2 linked regions of the Schizosaccharomyces pombe genome follow. Changing the gene in region 1 together with any one later gene gives a genetic interaction. Each region holds a gene or a part of one and is shown in the gene's direction. Other genes may lie near its edges. The genes, in order: ppk9 and pus3.

The links.
Region 2: mutations in ppk9 (region 1) and pus3 together harm fitness less than expected from each alone (positive genetic interaction), as found in Schizosaccharomyces pombe (one large-scale study listed by BioGRID).

What each region holds. Positions count from the first base shown.
Region 1 is NC_003424.3:1,601,146-1,611,355, reverse strand, and holds ppk9 (serine/threonine protein kinase Ppk9), read left to right. Parts: upstream 1-4,206; 5' UTR 4,207-4,266; coding exon 4,267-4,381; intron 4,382-4,552; coding exon 4,553-6,036; 3' UTR 6,037-6,283; downstream 6,284-10,210. Other genes in the region: sterol transfer protein Osh3, read right to left, coding at 357-3,194; COPII-coated vesicle-associated protein Erv25, read right to left, coding at 6,498-6,826, 6,960-7,281; slm3 (tRNA (5-methylaminomethyl-2-thiouridylate)-methyltransferase), read left to right, coding at 8,470-8,569, 8,614-8,675, 8,763-9,848.
Region 2 is NC_003421.2:664,594-675,500, reverse strand, and holds pus3 (tRNA pseudouridine synthase), read left to right. Parts: upstream 1-4,191; 5' UTR 4,192-4,228; intron 4,229-4,334; 5' UTR 4,335-4,740; coding exon 4,741-5,864; intron 5,865-5,916; coding exon 5,917-6,034; 3' UTR 6,035-6,194; coding exon of another isoform or gene 6,195-6,383; 3' UTR 6,384-6,437; coding exon of another isoform or gene 6,438-6,783; 3' UTR 6,784-6,844; coding exon of another isoform or gene 6,845-6,915; 3' UTR 6,916-7,089; downstream 7,090-10,907. Other genes in the region: RNA-binding protein Scw1, read right to left, coding at 340-2,025; SPOM_SPCC16C4.21 (uncharacterized protein), read right to left, coding at 3,946-4,191; pop23 (Rnase P/MRP subunit), read right to left, coding at 6,195-6,383, 6,438-6,783, 6,845-6,915; SPOM_SPCC16C4.04 (uncharacterized protein), read right to left, coding at 7,432-7,764, 7,818-8,022, 8,068-8,330; peptidyl-prolyl cis-trans isomerase Pin1, read right to left, coding at 10,161-10,287, 10,433-10,833.

The sequences.
Region 1 (10,210 bases):
GCAAAAAACAATGACACCACCGACTTATTTTATTAGTGTCTTTTATGGTAGTAGTAGTAAAAGATTCCATGCTCCTTAAACTGTTGTTTACAAATGCACTTAGTATCACTGCTGAATGAACACAATATATTGTTGTTAAATTAGTTCATAACTACGAATTAAAATACGATCTTAACAGCAATTGAATCTAATTACACACAAACGAAACGTTAAAAGATATTTACTATTAAAACAAAGACAAAATATATATGAAACGAAGGAAAAACCAACGATTTATGCAGCATTAAGAAACTTAAGAGTATTTTTTTAAGGGACTTTCTCTTCCTTTTTTTTTAATTCTTTTGTTACATAAGACTTCACCATAATTTAGGACATGAACTCCAAGTAGAGTTTTCACGAGATTCCCAATAATTATTTTCCTTTTTTAATTGCCAAATTGGACCTGACCCATCTTCATCTTCGTCATCACCAGCAACAGATGGAACAAACCATCTAGGTTCCCATTTTATATCTTTCTCCTCCATTTCTTTCCTTCTTTCGCGTTGTTTTTGCTCCAGTTCCAATTTTAAAGGTTCTGCGTGATCGAGATCGTTGTTTTCTCTATAACGTTGATCAGGACGCAAACGGGTATCGGTTGGAGGCAATTTATCCTTTTCCAAATCTGTAATCTCATTCATTTGAGCAGCAAAAACAGTCATTCCGCAATGATCTTCAGGCTTGTCGACCAAAGGACCAACTTCCCAGATACGCTCGATTACATTGCCTTCATCTGTATTTACAAAATCGAGATGTGAGGTCCATTTCCCTTGCAAGCATTTAGGATCTTCTTCACCATTGGATCGTATAACTGTTACTAAAACATCTTCTGAACGTCCAGAAAACATACCTCCACTCTTGAAACGTATCACTGCCTTATCGCCTGTTGTCTCATCAACGATTTCCATATGATCGTAAGGCTCCACATATTTCTCACCGATCGCAACGTTTTTGAGGAAACAGGCTGGCTTCATAAAGCTGAATTCAGTACCACAAGCAAGCTTAATGGTGACTGGACCAAGAGTATTTAATTCAACAGACTTTCCCCAAAATTTTTGTATGGGTTTAGGCGAGTGGTTCCAAATCCAATTTCGACTTTCAGCATGACAAGCAATAATTAAAGGTCGATGACAGACTTTTTCAGCTAGAAAACGATAATTTCTGTCTTCCCGCACCAACTCAAAAGTTTCACCTAACAAGGGACTGAAAACCTTTCGAACACTTCTTTCTTTATGTCTCATATTGGAAAAATTTGAAACGGCAAAAGCAGCAACGTAAAATATTTTTATATCATCATCGCATTCATTAGCTTTGTCTAGCATGTTAGAGTATTCAAGATCTTCAGCACACCGTTGCAGTAAATTACAAGGCTCATTAGAAACAACGGGTGCAGGAATAGAACTGATATCTTTTCCAATGTTTTTTCGTAAAATTGATAGTATGCTTGGCGGTGGAACAGTAATAGCTGGTATATTCTTTCTTCTTCCAACTTTGGAATGCGGTAAAGGGTAAAGAGAGTTGGAATCGGAGGGTTTAGGGGTGAGAGGCTTAGGGATAGAAATAACGGCCCCGTCGGCGATGTTTTTAGAAACAGAAGGCTTTTGAACCTCTTCATCGCTTTTAGCATTGGCAAAACTGGAATCATCCGGTGATGAAGAATCCATTAAATCATGGAATGGCTGTTTTCTTTTGATATCGTTTTCTTTATTGCTTTCAACTTCGGGAAGAGGCGGTGACCGAGAAGACTCATCTACTGTTGAGGCGAGAGAAGTTGCATTCAACTGTTCATGTGGAGCTGAAGAGTTGGATGATGTATCGGAAATAGAAGAAGTGTCAGAATCACGATCTGCATCAAGGGAAGTGCTATTAGAAGAAGTTTTCATTATTGGAATATCGGAATCAGAGATGTCCTCCACCTTTTCATTATGAGCAACACTTGATTTAGTAGCATCAGCTGCGTGAGCACCCGACTCAGAATAGTGATTCAATTGAGAAGTTGTGCTTTCATAATCTTCAGCGTCGTACCAATGTTGCTCAAAATTGGAATCCATAGACATGCGTGACGAAGGAGAAGATTGCGCCGTACGTTCTTTAGTATATTCATGGTGTTGAATAAAGCATTCCAGTTCATGCAACAAAGACCCGAGTTGACGAGTAACCTTGCGTAAAGTAACCGCAGCTTGCGCGTTTTCAGCAGCAGTAATTTCCACTGAAGTACGGGTTTCCTTGTTTTCTTTGGCATCACCGGGAAGTTGTATACGGATCTCAGGGACAGAAAAATTATGACTTGAAGCCGATTTGATACGACTGGTGCGATACAATTGAGCAATATCCAGGCATTCACGTAGTCTTGAGTAAATAGAGACTAACTGATTGGATGACGATTCTTGTGTCCTTTCGTCTACTACGAGCTTTGAAGAAGTTTGACTATTTTTCGCCTTTTCCAAAGCATTGCACCAACGTAGCCAATCTTGGTGAGTATGTGCTCGTAGGTTCCACAGTTCTACGCCTGAATCAACGTTGATCTCATGCGTCTCTGCAGCAACGCTAATCACAGCAATGCTCAAGGGAATTTTACCGCGCATTACCGAAGAATTTTCGTTAGCATAGTATGAGATCGTGCCTTCCACCATGTTGAGAGTGAAGTAACGTCGAGCATAGCCTTGGCCCTTCTTTCGGCGCTTTTTAAGCAAGGTTCCAGAAATAATTTGTTTAGGAGAGCCATGGACTGATGCATTTGGTATTCTCGGACCGTTGTATGGTTGCGCGGTCAAGAGGAAGGTCACAGTTTTTGGTTTTGTTTTCGAAAAAGTGTTATCAAACACGAAGGCATAAAGTCCTCCATTCTCAATGTAGACAGAGCCCTCACTAGGCTTTTCCGACATACATCGCTCTCCTTGATAAAATAATTCTAACCCAGCAGCACTCAACTTCTTGATACCAGCTTCGTGAGTGTGTTGACGCTTTGTATGCAGGATGGAACGATCGGTGTTTTTGTTGGATCCATCTAGCAAGCTAGATGTGTCATTCTTTTTATGATATATATCAAACTTTATGCTTTTCCGTTTCACATGCAGTTGCCAACTCAGTAAGGAATTCGATTCCACCGTGAGCCATTGTATCAACAGACTCTTACTTCGTATCTCCACAGTTTCCATGTTGACTCATGGACTTCTACTGTGATAATTGCAAAACTTAGAAAGCCTATTTTTTTCAATTGATGACTGGAGAGGAATAAAATAATTGCCTAAACGTATGTGGTAAGAGATGGATTTTCGGTTTCGGGATTTTCGGGCGAATGACTCCAAGGTATTTTACCGATGCGGAACGTTCGGTTTTTTGGCGGCCACCTAATGTAATGTATACTTAAGTAGTAAACAAAGGGCTGGTAGCGGCAATAGGTATGCCAGTATGTAAACGGATACAAAGAAAATTTTGCACTTATCACTTTCCGTAGTGTGTACTTGGGATGCCTCGATCGGGCTATTTCAGATATGGCAAAATATACTTTACATTAAAAAATAGCTATACAAAAACATTCGCACGGTCTGTAATATGCGGTTTTATGTTTGTCTACTAGCATTGATGGCATCGTGCGAAATAATGCGGGTTTTTGGGATTAAACCGAAAATCAAATGTTTTCTGTAGTCAAAAAATCTAGCTGTTGTAATTTTTTATTTAATTGTCTTTGAGTATTTCTATTACTGCTTTTACTAATTTTATCATTATCACGGCTGTATTGTTGTAGCTTATTGTGCAAAAAATTTTGGCTAGAAGTTGGGACGGATCTAATGATGGAAGAGGGTAAATAGAGAGTTCCCATGTACTCATAAACTTTGAAAATTGGCATAATTTCCCATAACACAATACCAGCTCGATTTTCCATTTCATAACACAAAATTTACATACCTATGCATCTGATAACCCATAGACCGCGTACCTTAATTAAATAAAGTGCAGATTGGTTGCTCGTATCGAACGCTAGCGTTGTCTGCAATGTCGCCGTGGAGATGTTTACCAAAAGATAGCACGTTACGCCATATAATCTTATTACAAGGTTGCTTTGAATCACACTACTTTGCCTCGTGCACCTTTTTTATCGCTAACAAATTAGCATCAGATGCGCGGATCATGTTTAAGTCGGACGGTATGCAGCAACATGCACATGCTAACCACCTATATACACGAATAACGAATTTCATCCTATAAAGTCAGCTGGCTCGACTTGCTATGCAAACCCCTTCTTCTGCATCGGCAGAGTCTGAAAAGGATTCAGGAAACACCTATGTTGGGCCTTGGCTTTTGGGAAGGACTTTGGGACAAGGAAACTTGGCCAAAGTGAAATGTAAGTACATGAGGTGAAATTTAGTTGACTTTGTCTTGTAGGGGCTTGTTAATAAGATAGAGTAGACTACTTATAGACAGTAGAGATAGACTACTTAGGTGTCATGGTTATCTTGCGCATCGATCGTCTTTGATTTTGTTTTTGGCAATTGTACGATGGCTAACAGTGTAGTGGGCAAGCATTTTCAAACAAATGAAAAGGTCGCATTGAAAATGGTTTACAATGATGAATTGGAAGATAAAGATACGTGGAAGCGTTTACAAAGAGAAGTGACAATCTTAAGGCAATTGCACCATCCAAACATTATCACCCTATACCAGGTGTTTCGGGTTCCCAAGTACACAGTGCTCGCACTAGAGTATATGGATACTGATTTGCACAGTATGGTGGTTAAGCATAATCGACTGGATGAATGTACCACTCGCAAGATTTTTCGACAAATTGTCCATGCCATCGATTATTGTCATCTTCATCGTGTTGCTCACCGAGATTTGAAGTTGGAAAACATTTTACTTAATAAAGATCTGGTTGTCAAGCTCACGGATTTTGGCCTTTCCAATTTTATGCTTGATGGTTCCTTTCTGAGTACCTCTTGCGGTACTCCCCATTATGCTGCTCCTGAGGTTATTCAAGGCCGTTATTATGATGGTTGTGATGTAGATGTATGGGGTTGCGGAATCTTATTGTATTTGATGCTCGTCGGCGAGTTTCCCTTTGAGGATGTAACCATCTCCAATGTATTAAGTCGCGTTTGTAAAGGAATCTACACCATTCCTAGTTTTGTATCTTCTTCAGCCTCAGATCTCATTCGTCAAATGTTAATGGTGCTTCCTACTTCACGAATCAAAGTTGCAGAAATAATGCAACATCCTTGGTTTATCGCTGATCTTCCCACGCATTCCCGTTTACCTTCCCGTACTTCATCCTTTTCTTCCAAGCATCGATCTGTCACCTTTTCTCCTCCAGATCTTGCTATTCTTTTCGACCCTTCCATAACTTCGCCTTCCAGTAGTGTAGGTCAAATTCCTCAGCCCACAGATCACTCAGCCCTATCCCCGTCAAAACCAATGTCCATTTCAGGTACTGAATCTCCTAATCCAGATCCCGCATCTTTATGTTATTCGTCGTATGAGGACTTGTATTCGGCTACTTCGTGGCATTCTGACATGGCAGAATCATCCGGATTTTTAGATCCTACTGATATTCCACCAATTCCTTCTAACGTTGAAACTTTACGCTCTTCTCTTCCACAGAGACATGCTTCATTCATGAATAAGGTCTACAACCATCCATTATCCCGACCTCCCGCCCCCAACCGACTTCGTTCTTTACGCTGGCATTATGGGATTCAAACTGCCAAAAATCCAATTGAAGTATTGAGAAAGCTATGTGAGGCTTTACTTGAGTTAGGAGCTCGGTTTCGGCCCTGTGATGAGGAATCTTTTCTAAAGGAAAATAAGTATAAAGTGTTTTCATGCATTACATGTCATAATTCTCCTGTTTATCTGGTTATTGAATTATTCTCTATTGGACCATCTGCTAGCGTGATTGATATCCGCTTTTCTAGTAGTGATGATTCTATAAAGTACACTTCATCTTACAGTCCAATGCCATTTTTAGAAGTTGTCAAACAATTGATCCTTAAAATTGCATAAGGTCAGTCGCGTAACTCAACCTAATTCCCTTTTTTATCCTTTTTTTTTCTTTTACGATTTTTTTTGTTGTAAAGCTTTTGTTTTCAATATTGTTTGCATTTACTAATATTGTGAAACTAAGTTGAATTTTGATATTTTTGTTACGACTTTCTCATTTAGTTTCAATTAGAATTCACAGTTGTTACATTTCCCTTTTGTTTTTTGAATTTGTTAGTTATTTCACAAACAATGAAGATAAACAGTTGTAATATTACAACAGAATTATGCTAATGTAATTTACTACAATCTTTTATTTTTATTCATGAAGTTAAAGAGTGAAGTAGTGTATATGCATTAAATGTGAATGTTTGTCCATACTCACAGTAATTCCTAGTACGGAATATAAAAGCAACCAATTAATTTTTGGAAATTGTGGAAGTGCCAAGTATGCCGTATACGTATATTTATTGTTCATGTGAAATTTAAGGGATAAGATGCTTCCTTTGGAAAAATGAACGTAAATAGAGGATTTGCCATATAACAAGAACAAATAATGAGATAAAAGTAAGATATGCAAAATTCTTGACACGCTCATTAGTACTTTCATTAGTGTTTCTGAATCTAGCTTCGCGAGCTTGCAAATAGTAAATTTTTCCTTTGATTTCTTCAATGAAGTCTCTTGCACGACGGATATCAGCTTCTACAGGTTCCAAGTTGTTTGCTTTTTGCAATGAAGAATAATCATCGGCGTCAGCGCCTACAGTAAACTCAAGTTTGACGGATCGCTTTTTATGTTCAGACTCTATAGCACCTACATTTAAATGTCAGTCAGAAAGCTAAACTCATAAAGGATTTCTTTTTCAAAGAAAGAAAGGGATCTAAACAACGTAAACAAATCAAAATAGCCGTTGAAGTAAATACGACTTTTAGATATAGTACCATACCTGGTGTCAAAGTATTTAGGAAGCAAATATCGAGCATAGCAGAAGCATCAACGTCAAAGGCAACACTCTTCTCGCCTAAGACATTTTGAATACTGCTATGAGTGTTGCCAGATGAATCAGTTATCATCATACTCAAGGTTTGTCCATCTCCCATATTACCAGTAGTTTTCAGATTAACAATTACAAGGTTCTTTTCTCCTACGTATTCACGAAGACAGAAAGGCTCTGGATTGGTTTTGGCAGGAATATCAAAGTTTAAAGCATGGACAACAGTCAATAATGCTAGCATAAAGAACAACGAAGATTTCAAAGAAACCATCATTTTGAAATAACTCCAAATGTTTGGGATACGATATGAACGACGTAATAACCACCACTGCTGTATACAGGTTGGCAAAAGAAAGAAATCTTGCCTGTTCTAGTTAAATGATGGTAAACCGAATGCCAAGGGGGAGTGTGCGCTGCGTCTCATTAACTTTCCTTACAGCTACAATGCAACAAAAAATACAAAAATAAGAATTCTGAGATACTTCCTTACGAATCAACTTTTATTAGTGTAAGAAATAACTCAATTTTTTTTTGCGGATCTCTTATAGCCTTAAAAAATGAGTAAGGGGCGTTGAAGGGTTTCATTTAGCAATGTAAACATAAGATAGCCATCGATATCACTAGCAAAAAGTGATAGGTTATAAAGCAAGAAAATGAATAAAAGAATGGATTTAGTTAATTTCTATACTAGTATTATGAGAAAATTAGCTTTTTCATTTTCTAATGATTATTTAATGAAAAAAAACTTACTAAAGTGATGCAAAAAATTATGTTTTGAATGCGGATAATCAACTTGAACCAAATCTTGAAAAACCATCAATTTTAAATTCAATAGCTAACGGAGTTAATTAATCATATAACTTTCAAATTTCTTTAGTAACTTTTAACTGATACGTATTCATTTACTAATAAATTTAAAATAAATTCTCAATTGTTCAGTTATATATTACAAAGACAAACGGACAACCACAAGCTCTTGTAGCTCAGTGGTAGAGCGCTTGCCTAGTAAGCAAGAGGCCCAGTGTTCAAGTCACTGCTGGAGCATAGTTTTTGTAAATCCTTAAAATTACTTTTTACTTAGTAGAAAAAGAGCGGCAGATTATTAAAATTTTTTTCAAATTGAACATATTATGGTTCATAGAAAATAAATGTCTATAAGTTGTCACGTCACTAAGAAGTGAACGTGTAGTTGTTAAGATTTTATAACTCATTAATTTCATAGTATATTAATGCCAAAGATTCTAAAAAATTTATAAACATCTATCGGATACTTAAGAATAATCCTGGATTCATGAAATTTGCATTTTGAGTTGTAGCACTATTAGGAGTATACTGACTGTTCTCGTAAATTCATCACCCATAGCGAACATAGCTACACTTTTCCCCCTATGTTGCGCTAGAAAGGTTTTTTTTGGTTTGGTAAATTGTTACATGTGGGTAGTTAAAATCTGATAAATCATATATGAGGGTTTCACTTTTTCTACAAAAGCAAATCATAGAATGCTCAAAGGCGTTTCAACCTCATTCTACACGTTTACAATGGCCCAAATCGCAGGATAAAGGTTCGTTTATTTTTTAAGCTAAAATGTCTAATAATGTTTTTAAGTATTTGTAGCTATGTCGGGAGGCGTGGACTCTAGTTTTTCGGCGTATTTACTAAAAAGTCAGGTAATTCGCAATTCTTTAAATTGACTCTAAAAGAGAAATGCTTTGATGTGAAAGATTTTTGAAACTTATTACTAAACTTTGGTTTAGGGATATAATGTGGAAGGTGTTTTTATGCGTAATTGGTTAGATGAGGACTCCGCGCCTTCTGGTTGCCCTGCTGAAAGAGATTGGGCAACAGTCCAAAAGGTTTGTAAGAAGCTCAATATATCGTGTAGACGGTTTAATTTCGAAAAAGAGTATTGGAATCTCGTATTTGAGCCTAGTCTAGATCTGTATGAAAATGGATTAACTCCCAACCCAGATGTATCTTGTAACCGACAGGTAAAATTTGGAGCGTTGTTCGACGCATTGAAAAAACATTGTGAAAATAATGTCAAGGGTGACTGGTGGCTGGCTTCTGGTCATTATGCAAAATCGGTTGTTAATATTGAGACCAACGAATCCCACATGTGTATTCCGACTGACAAGCGTAAAGATCAGACTTTATTTTTATGCACAATCCGCAAAGAAGCTTTAGAAAAAACCATTTTTCCTCTACATAATTGGACGAAAGAGAACGTGAAAAAGCAAGCAAGTTCTGCAGGCTTCAAAGAAATTGCTGAAAAGCAAGAAAGTCAAGGACTCTGTTTTGTTTCGCCAAATGTAGGGAGAAAATTCAGAAAATTCCTTCAGAGATATTTGAATTTTTCTGATAGGCCGATAAAAGTCATTGCAGGAAAAAATGTCGTTGGAGAGTTTTCAGGAAATCATGGAATATGGAGCCTTACTGTTGGTGAACGCTGTGGACTGAGTTTACCACAAGCTCAATCTGAATACTTTGGGAGATGGTATGTATGGAAAAAGGATATTAAAAATAATGCACTGTACATATGCCGTGGAACGAATAATGAACTATTAATGAGTAAATGCATTTATTTAAAAGATTGGAAGTGGTGTGGTACTAAGTTACAAAACCTTGAAAAAAGTGCTCTTTCATGTTTTGTAAGGGTACGCCATCAACAGCCATTACAACCAGCTAAGGTGACTTGGAGGAACCCTGAAAGTGTTAAAATACATTTTCAAGATAAACAACGAGCCGTTACTCCTGGTCAAGTCATTGCCGTGTATGTAAACGATGTTTGCTTGGGTGGAGGGATGGTTGATACTGTAGAACCTGAAAAAGATTTTGATTGATGAGTGTTTTATTAAAATAAACGACCAGCTAGTTATTCAAAAAAAAAAATTCTAGAGGATAGAAATAAAATGAAAAGAAGTTTTTTTATTAATGTGAGTAAGAATCTTTGGTATGTGATTTACTGAAAAATAATTATTACAGTTGGACTTGATTTGCTTCAAACAGATTATGCTTATACCTTCACTTTTTCACTATTTACCAAAAAATGACAAATAAGGTGTTAATAGTGTTAGTTCTAACCATTTATATGTACGCCCATTCCAGTAATTGAGAATTAGGAAGTATGTTATGGTGGTAAACTGGTGCTGCAGTTTGTTTTTCTGAGAAGTAGAGGTTTTCGAAAATCCGATTTTAAAAGGGG
Region 2 (10,907 bases), on another chromosome or scaffold:
CGATATTATTATGTAAATTGATATGTGTAGCAGAAGTATATGGAAATGATGAGCAAATGATAAATCCTAATGACAACTAAACAATGCAAGTACCCATCTTATATAAGAGTGAAATAAAACAGATCGCATAAATCGACAAATTGTAATTAAGCTTAACAGATGGTTAAAGTTGCATGCAGTCAAAGTGGAATAGATCGCAACTTTTGATTAACAAAGAATCAATATGCAAAACTCAAAAAAAAAAAAAGAGAAACAATATGCTTAAAAAATTTGGACCTAAAGTCCTTGCAAGGTATTGATGAATAATGATAAAATGAAGACGAGAAAATGCTAGATGAGCTATTTGCCATACATTAGATTATTACCCCAACTGGGACTGGCGTGGACTTCGTTATGTCCACCAGTATGATTAAGCAAAGAGTCTGTATTGTAATTATTCATGGAACCAGAGTGAAGGTTACGAACGTTTCCATTATGGTTGTTATGCGATGAACTTGATGAGCGCACTCCCAATGGGTTCTTCGAAAAACTCAAACGAATACCACCTTTAATGCTACTGCTAAGACAAACACCTTGTAAATTCTTCAAGGCTTCCATGGCGTATGGAATGTTTTCAAATTCAACAAAACACATGGGGCCATTGCCTTTAGTGCGGAAACAAAGTCTTTTGTATCCAACTTGAGTGGAAAACAAAACTTTCAACTCTTCCTCGGAAGTAGAAGGAGGAAGATTTCCAACATAAATGGTGTTACAAGGAGGATTTTGATCAGCAGGGTTGGTATTCGTGGGGGTAGAAGCAGGGATGCGTTGATGAATTCCATGACTGGAGGAATAAGCCGAAAATGGTGTGGAAGGTGAAATGGTAGAAGCTGAAAATGGGTAGTCTCTTGATGTTGATGGTGTCAAGGGAGGAGGGCTTGTTGTACTGAATGCACTGTTTGCCGAAAAGACACGAGGATGGGGTGATTGAGCACTAGAATTTTGGGTATGAGCGCTATAACCCTTTTCAGATGAAAGGTAATTGCGCGCCACGTTGGTGTTAATAGATAATGAGTTAAATCGCAAAATCGGAGGAACACCGTCTTGACGCAAATTGGTACTACTTTTGGAAGGAGTGGGTGACCACGTAGGTGAACCAACTTCATCCTTGGCTAACACATTCGCGAGTGTTAAAGGATAAGAAACAGGGAAAGAAGACCACAACCTATCGGAATGCAAACTACCTCCATTGTTAGGAGCCTGAAAAGTGCTATCACCCAAAGGTGTTTTTGAATGACGATAAGCAGATTCCGAATGATTTGCAGTAGGCATACTGGCTGACACATGATTACTTGACCTGCGGAAAAGATCACGATTTCCTAACAGTGGACGAGTTGGAGAATGGTTTCGAGACAGTCTGTTAAATGAAACACTACTCTCAGAGCCCTCAGTTTCGTCGCTAAGATTTGTTTGACTTCCCTTTCGATAATTGTCTAAAATTATCATGCTGCACGCGGAATAAACATCGCTAGATAGCAAAGTGTCTCTAGCAGATGCAGCAGCATCTCGGGATGAAAACACCGCCAATCCATGAGCAACTTCATTATCCACGGATACAGGATTAAGCTCGACGGATACTACATTCGTAGCGAATAAAAAGGTACATAAAAACTCTCTGGGTGTTAAGTCCCTAGGTAAATCCTCAATCCGCAAAGCATAATATCTAGGAAAACCGAATCCAACCTTAGGAGGAGCAGAGGCTAATCCACCGTTGAGGTTAGAGAGGAGTCTACCAATCGGAGTTGTGGATTTTTCCACAGATGCATAAGTAGGTAAACCGTCAGATTCAGCTTTCCCAGCTTGGCTGTGAATAGCCTGAGGAGACATGTGAAGAGCATGACATTCATCATCTCCATTCAGAATACCGGTTGGAACCAACGATGAACCACGTAGCGCATCTTCAGTAAACTCGGTTTCGTCCCCGACTTTGGTCTTACTGGATAACGATAAAGGCTTTTCAATAGCGCTCGGTGATCCCACAAACATTTTGCAAATTATATATAATGGTAATTGAAAAGAAGAGAAAAAAGAATGACAAAGTGGTTGATAAAGTAACCAAAATAAGCAATAGATGCCTAAAAGTAAAACACAAATGAAATAGCAGTAGTTGTTAAATAAACCCCAAACGATAATAAATGAGGCTTCAAGCTTAATAACACGAAATAGTTAATAAGTGGAGTAAAAAGTTAGAAACCTAGTTGGTCGACTAAAAAGAAAGTGTGTAAGTAATAAAAATAAGCAAGGGCAATGAAGAAAAATAAAAAATTCAGTAAAAATTGTTAGCAAGTATTAGAAAAATCCAAATACTTGACGCGAAAGAATTAGAAGGGCAACAACCTAGAATACTGGACGAAGATAATAAAAGAAAGACTGTAACTTCAAGAAAACGAGAGCAAAGGGTAAACTGTTGACCACCACAAATAATTCTAGTTGCTAAAAGAGAGACAGATACAACTGTGAAGCAAAAAACACAAACTGAAAATGAAAAAAAGATGACTGAAATATGCAAAAATACCGAGCTAACAAAAAGTCTAGGGCAAGGCTTATGAGGAAGAAATCGTCAAAAGTATCGATAAAAAGACTTCGAAGGTATTCGAAATGCTTAAAAAAATCAGTTAGCGATTTTTTTTTTTTCAAAAAAAAAGAAATGGTTGCAGATGGAAAAATAAAATAAACAATCAACTTTTCAATCAGCAGAGTATAAACAAATATACAAACAAGTAAACAAAAGACACTTGTTTTTTTTTGGAGAGGTAAATCAAAGGAAAGCAATCGGGCAAAAAGTGAGAAGCAAATAAAATATACCGCTATCAACAAAGAGTAAATATCCAACAACAAGAACAATCAAGATAGAAGTAAAATTGCTGGGAAGATTGGCAAAACGTAAGCAAAAGAAGTATGAACACGGTTTATAAAGGAGCGAAGAATGAAAGGAAAAGCAAAATAAAAGAAGCTTTTCTAAGTAACGTTAAATAAGAGAGATCAAGTTAAAAGAAAAAAGGCAAAAAGATTCCAAGAAATTTCAAATAAAAAGAAAAAAACTAAGAAGTAAAGTGAATATGAAATCTTTGTGAAAAAATGATTGAAACTTGATCAAAATAATAATAAGGCATAAAATAGGGTCAGAAGAAAAAACAAAGAGGGAAGAAAGAGAAAAAAAAAAGAAAAAGAATAAAACAAAAAAGGTAACCCACACAAAAACGAAGAGACTAAATATTATATAAATGTCACAAAACTTTGTATGAACAAAAAGATGGGCAAAAAAAAAGACCAAACGTTTAATAAGCAAATACCCTTAAGTAATGAGTAAAAGGCGGAAGAAATGAATCAACGAAATCAAACGAGTGAATAAAATTTCGAAAAAAAAAAAAATAAGGAGCCGGGTATCTGAATGAAAACGAATCGTGACTATTTTATGGATTGAGAATAGGGAAATCCTAAAAACACAAAATTGTTTAGTGGGGATAGAAATGGATAGATATGAAAATGAAATGAATAATGAAAGGAGGTCGAATAAAAACCCAGTTGAAAAACTATTTATGGCCAAAATTCAACAAAGCAACAAATGGCTAAAGTTCAATGAAAGGGTACAGAAAAATAAAAAAGAAAAGTAAGACTTTCAACACACACGTTGTGCTTCCGAAACGGATATAATTTTCCTTGTCGTGCAGGCTGAGTCAACGAGCCCCTAAGATGAAAAAATGAGAATTTCCGTAAAAACAATGAAAAGAAAATATTTAATAGGGAGAAACCGAGGAACGCAATAAATAGCAAAACAACCAAGACTGAGAATGCAAAAAAGAAAAAAGAAAAACAAGCGTTATTAGATGAATGAAAGGACAATCGAAAACTAATCCAAATAATAATGGAGATGATAACAGTAAATATCAAATTTCTGCTATTCTGCTATGTTTCCGGCTTAAATCTTTTTTTTTGCACTACAAAAAGCGTTTTCTTGCCTACTGCGACTGTTTTCCTGGTGGTTGGGAGGTATAGGTGGTCGGTAAGTTCGGCGTGCAGTGTGGAAACGCTGTACGTTAGAGGAACACCAGCATCATCATGCATGACAAAATGTTGAACCGATGGGTTAGCGGTTAAGATGCAACATTCACTATATCTCAATCCCTTAACATTTGCCGGATAGAGCTGCATAGAAAAAAATTTGTCAAAACCCGGGTAGTAAGAAAAAGTATGGTTTAGAAGGTATTTTAAATAAATCAACGAAAATTTAGCAGAGAACAGTAAATAAAGAAGCAAAGATTGATAAGAAAGCGGTTGCTAACGAAAAGAATTAGTTTTGTAGGTTGACCTTTGAAACGACTGAAAAAAAATTAATTTTCGATAAAAGTTGAAAAAAAAGGACCTTCTAAAAACGGCAAATTTTCGGCTTCATTGTCCATTCAAAGGGGTAGAAAGGAGATACAAGGTATTTCTTTGTGGTATCTAGTATGTACAGCTTGGTTTAGTAAAAGAAAATAGATAAACAACAGGGTATTGTGGGTAAGACTATTCATGGAAGCTAGGGCTCTTTCCAAAAAATTATAGTAATATTCTATATTGTTCATGAAAAACAGTTGAAGTGCTTCTACCCTTAGTTTAATATTTTTTTAATATCCTAACTTTTGCTTGAGCACATGCCATCTGTAGTACCTTTCCTCTCTTTCATTAAAAACTTGCTTAGTTAATTTCATCTTTCAAACTATGCATAGTCTCTTAAGACCTTCAAGGTTCTCTGCCAACCAATCTGTGCTTTGCTTGCTCCAACGACATCGGGTTTTCTTTTCTTCGATTTCGGTGAAACCCCGGAAACGAATGGTCTACTGTGTTGTCAGCTATCGTGGTACTGGCTTTGCTGGTTTGCAGTACAATGCCAATGTCAAAACCATACAAGATACACTGTTCCAAGCATTCGCTCGAGTAGGCGCCGTTGTTCAGGTGAATGCTGACTCTCCCAAGAAGATCCGAATGTGTTCTGCTGCTAGAACAGACAAGGGTGTACATGCCATTGTTAATGTTCTTGGTTTGAAAGTGTTGGACAATCAACCTCTACCTCATGTGGTGAATTTGGTCAACGATATTTTACCACCTTGTATTCGTGTATGGAAAATGGCGAGGACGTTTAATTCGTTTTCTCCACACACTGTGTGCGACAGTCGCGTATATGAGTATTGGTTGCCTGTCTCCTCTCTACTTACTCCCCGTCCTTGCACTCTCGAGGCCTATGTAATTGCCAAGGCATCTGAAAAAGCATTCCCCATTAATGAAACACTTTCCCATTTAGCTAACTTAAGCAAACAAGACTGTGTTGCGAATTCCTTGTCCGAGCCCTTTCGTTTATCCAAACCTAAACTCGACTTTCTAAAGCATGCGTGTACGATGTTTCGGGGCACCCATCGATTTCACAGTTATACAACGGAGAAGGGTTTTTCGGACGCCAGTTCTCGAAGGTTTTTATTAGATGTGCGTGTGGATAACCTTCACATTGACAAGTTAAATCGCCAATGGGTTAAGCTAATCTTTCACGGCCAGTCGTTTATGAAGCATCAAATTCGCAAAATGGTTGGCATCCTTATTCATCTTACACGCACTGGATGGAATGCGCAAGTTTTGCTAAATACATTTAATAATTCGTATCGCATTCGAATACCTAGAGCGCCTGCTGAGTTTTTACTTCTCAATCAACCTATCTTTCAAGCTTTCAACAAAAAATGTTCCCGATTTGATCATGAACCGGTTGAATGGTCATGTGCGCAAAAAGGCATTGACCAATTTGCACATTCTTTTCTTCGAACTCCAATGTTTGATTGCTTCATTTCATCAGAATCGTAAGTTAAACCACACCTTTCATTTCTATCTCACATTTTATTAATGTCTCAGTTTTCAATCATTTTTCATCCTTCAAAAACAATTTCAATTATTTCAAGACTTAGCTTTGTTGACATCGTTTGACTTTTTAGAGCCCTCGTCTCGTCGTGATATTCTTGGCGAAAAATAGATATTGCCCAGCCTGCTTAAAACTCAATTTATCGATGTTTCTTTTCATACTTTCTCAATCTACACACAATCTTTCATACCTTACACATTTACACATACACACACGCAAACATATATATTTACATATACAACTACAAGAAATCTGCCATCTTAAAATTTTTTCATTTTTTAAACTCGTTTCCCTTTTCGTTTTTACCCTCTTTTTTTGTTCCTTGATTTTCCTTTTGACTTGTAATGATTTTTTCAACCTTGGTCACCTCATACTCAGGATTTTCGGAAAGCCAGCGTGCTTGAGGCTCTTCTATATTCATCACTAAATCTTTTAAATATTTCCATAGAGGAGAATCATCCTAAAATATAGTCAATATCATTCTACTTAGTCTAAAATTGACCAGTAACCTTACCTGTACGGCAATCGCACCCGCCCTGCTCAAACCCAATTTCTTGGCGATTAGCGCTTGTGCAGAAAATCCAAGTGGAACTAGTCGACATTTGGAGGAGCCATAAAAGTTAGCATTTGCAACAAGCTGGGGCATGTGTGTAACTAGCATGGAATCCTGGTCATGAAGGATGAATACGACCGCAGGTTGCGTAACGTCTTTCGCATTTTGGCAACATCTCTCTAGCAATTCATTGACAGAATTCAATCCAACGGTCAACTTCGAGTCTAATATGTCTTTATGAGAGGCAGGAAGCCATTGCACAAGTGTTTGAGCTAATTTCTCTTGTGTATTTGCATCAACGATAGGCCTAACGGTATGGTTAGTCAGTACGAAAATAGGTGTGAAAATACAAGCAATAGATTACATACCAAGAGATAGATAAAGGATTTCGAAGGACAAGCTTAACTGTTTGTTTTACTTTCGTTTGCTTTTTCTTCATAGCTCAAATATCTAGTCCTCCTTTCAGGACTTCTTTTAGGTAAAATAGTAAAACGCTATATTTCACTATTTGATTTATGAAATGCAAAGTTCATACAATTCTGTATGCAGTGATACGTTATTTTACACTATTATAGAGAAATAAAAATATCAGAAATTGAAAGATAATAACAAACGTAAAAAAGAGTTAAAGAAGCTGTCGTTTCAATTTCAATTAATTCTATCATGTTACATGCAAATATCAAGCGAGGATTTTCTCAATTTTCTAATGACTAGCATAAATTAACAGTTCTAAAATAGTAGAAGATGAAATTCATAAAAGTTTAGAACCTTCAAAAATGAAGTAAAAAAAGTTTTTGAAGTAGTAAAAATGAAGTTTAGGAGGGAAAGAACTCGAAAAAGTTAAACAAGGAAATACGTTAGAATCAATCAACTTCATCACAATCTTTTAACTTTCTAGATTAAATAGAAAATAGTAAAAATACATGGATATGATGCATGCCTTCTTATACTTACATCAGGAAATAGCAAGTAAAAATTGGTCAAGTAGAAATTTCCATCTTTGCGGAGAAAAGGCAGATTTTTTCGAATGCGAGATGTATTTTTTTAACCTAAAGAGTAAAAGAATAATGCCAAAGATTGCTCCTACAATTTTTATATTTTTGTCAATTAACTGTAAACGCGAGAGGAGTGGAGTTAAACCTTGGTTTATTAAACGAGAGACTTTTGAAAATTGCAATTTTAGGGTCAAGGCAAATTCTCCTTCATCTTCCGAGGGATCAGGAGTTTTTGAACGCTCAAGGTTCATTTTTAACTCTTCCTCTTGTGCTTGAATCCGAAGCAGTAATGACTAAACAGTTAGCGACAAGGATCAAACGTAAATGTTGTTACAAACATGCATACATTTTCAAGTTCCCCACGAGAATTAGCCAATATGGCTTTCAATGGCTCAGTAAGCTGCACGCTACAAGCACAATTGACAAGTTTGGGGAGAATTGAATCTTTCAATTCACTTTTCAAAATGGCGTCTTGGTAGCGATACAAAGAATTTATCATTTGCGCGTAGTTCTCTTTTGTAAATTCACTATTCTCTAAATAAGTAATTATCCTGGTCACGTTAAAACTTCTGATCAAAATTTAAAATACTACATACCAATTTACCACGATTGAATCCGGTATTTTCCCTTGATAGTTGTGTAACAATTTTTCCTCCATTTCTGTCCAAGAACGCCTTTGTTCACACATAATTGTCAGGCACAATATTAACGCTTGTTCGTAAGTGTTTTCACTACAATTAGCATTCTTTAAATAATTATCAAGTATATATAATGAATGTTCATCTTTTCCTTCCACGTATAGTTTATAAGCATATCCGAAAGGCGTCTTATAATCCATTGGGAGTGTAGCAGAAGCCATGGATGGTAATTGGGCTTTTATGAAAAAAATTGAGAGATATTAAAAAGGATAAATAATTTCATCAATTTCTTCTTCTCAGGATATTTAAATTGATCTAACTAGCATGAAGAGTAAGTCATTGAGTAAGATACTCTATTTAGTTTTGGTATGCAGTGGGATTCCAGTTACATTGCAAATGAATCGAAGCATGCTCATTGTCATGCAGTTTATACTTTCTCTTACAAACATAAAAATTGAAAATTGAATAGAATAGAATAGAATAGTATTAATCAGAGACTAAGAGCCTGGCAATTCGGTATATTAAGAATGAAAAAGATTCTTTCAATGCATGACCTCCGTTTATCTTTGCTATTGAGGAATGTATCGCTTCATTAAAGTGAATTACTCATCCAAGGCGTAAATTCAATGATTACTCATTATCTTGATCCAGAATGAACTTCTTTTCAATGCTCAAAAGTTATATGACTGACTTATCTGGCTAAGGTAATATTAAATAGAGCTATGACAAACAAAGGTGTATTGATAGTATAACCTCTAAAACCTTCGATTTAAATTGAACATATAGTTTTGAATCGAATGCCATATTTGTTTCAAAAAAAATTCCTTCAGTAGTCAACAGTACCTTAGCTATTTTTCTATTTATTTTTATTATTTTTGGCACATCAACAATTGATTGAAATTAACTTTCAAATTTAAAGGTTTTTAACTGTTTGACTTCTTTTTTACATTGACTAAAGTATCATTGCTTCGACCGGCAAACTATCCCAATAATAGATTCTTAAGCTTATTAAAAAAAAATATTTCTTTTATTTTGAAAGATTTAATTGTATTAACGAAGTTTAATAATAAACTCTGATAGCTATACAATTGTTATTTTAATACAACTCATTTTACAATACTAAATGTTCAAGATGAGATTTAACGTTACTTAAAATAATCCCTAATTTAAATTATTATCATTACTATTTTTTTTAAAAAAGAACACTTTTTTTCATAATTCAGGCCCCTACTGTGTAAACACATTTGGATTCCTATAAATTATCAAATATTCCTTTACTAGCTGATATATGGATTCGCTTTATAAAATACAGAAAGATAGAATTTAGTACGAAGTCGGTTCAAATAAATTTATTAAATGGGTTCCAAATGCTGAAGAATTCTACTCACCTCTATAGCGTAAAAAATGGGATGCTGCATTTTCACTTTGCCGGATATTAATTGTTTTATTGTAAATCAGTGCATGGGGTTGGTTAGAGAAAAAAAACGAAAAAAGACTTGTGTAGGTATAAAGAAAAATAAACAAATAAATAAATATAGCATAAAAAAATGACTACAACCATAAAACCTCAAATGAAATATGCAAAAGATAAATTTGTAATTACTTTTTCTAATAAAGTTAACATTCATGTAAAGTAGAAAATCTGTGAAAATTTTTAAAGTGAACAGAAATCTCGAAACATCAATCAGTTACTTTATCATTTTTCATCAAAGCTTTTTCAATCAATAGCAAAGCGAAATCAAATCATTTTGTTTTCAACCTAGGTAGTAAGCTGGCTCGTGTTCATGAATGGGCAAACACTTAAATACTAAGTTAAAATGTATTATAAACGGGTGAACGTCAGAAATAAGGGACATACAAAGCGACAATTGTGAATATTCTCCTTTGGGAAAATGGTCAACAAAATGTAAAAAATCATCAGAAGAGATAAATTTGTGACAAAACAAGACAAACATTTTGTTTGCTTTTTCAAGCATACGGAAAGGGAGTAAGTGAAAATAAGAAATAAAGCATACTCATTAATATTATTAGGTAATTGTTTTGCAAATGAATTAAGCGTGTCTTTGAATGATGTGAAACCCACTGCTCGTTTCAACCACTCCACTAATTTCACCGGGTTTCAAGGCAAACGCAGCGTCTTCAAACGGTTTTTGCATTTCGTCTCTTCCAAATTCGCCTCTACACATAGTGTTAGTAAAAATCGTTCCAGTTGAAAATCAGACTACACTTGGCAAACCAACAAGAGCTTATCACCAAGTGTGGCACCACCATATACTGTCGGTCTTGCGACTCGTATTTAATTACAGTATATCAAAATACATACAATTCACCTCCGCGACGAGCGGAGCTACAATCCGACTCTTTCATGGCTAAATCATGCATGCTTACAGAGCCACTCTTTAGCAATTGTTCATAGTGTTCAGCCAGCTTCCTCGCCTCCTCCTTGCTCCTAGTAATGTGCTCCTCCTTCCATGAGCTGGGACGACGGCTTTCTCGATGCTTTACGAGTAAATGGCTAGCACGAATCTTGGGTGAATTGCTTGCCTCGGTGGGTGTAACTGACTCCTGCAACTCGTTTGCAATGAACTTTTTCAGGGCAGCCATATCAGTGGCAGCCGGAGGCTCCCATAAAGACTCATGCGTCTCAGTATTAAAGAAGTAGGGACGATTTCTGGAGCGTGAAATCTTGACAATCCATGGTTTGGGTAACCCAGTATTAGACATTTTTTTTACCACAACGCTTCTTCAAAAAATGGATTCACTAAGACAGAAAAAATCCTCAACTATAAATTACAAGC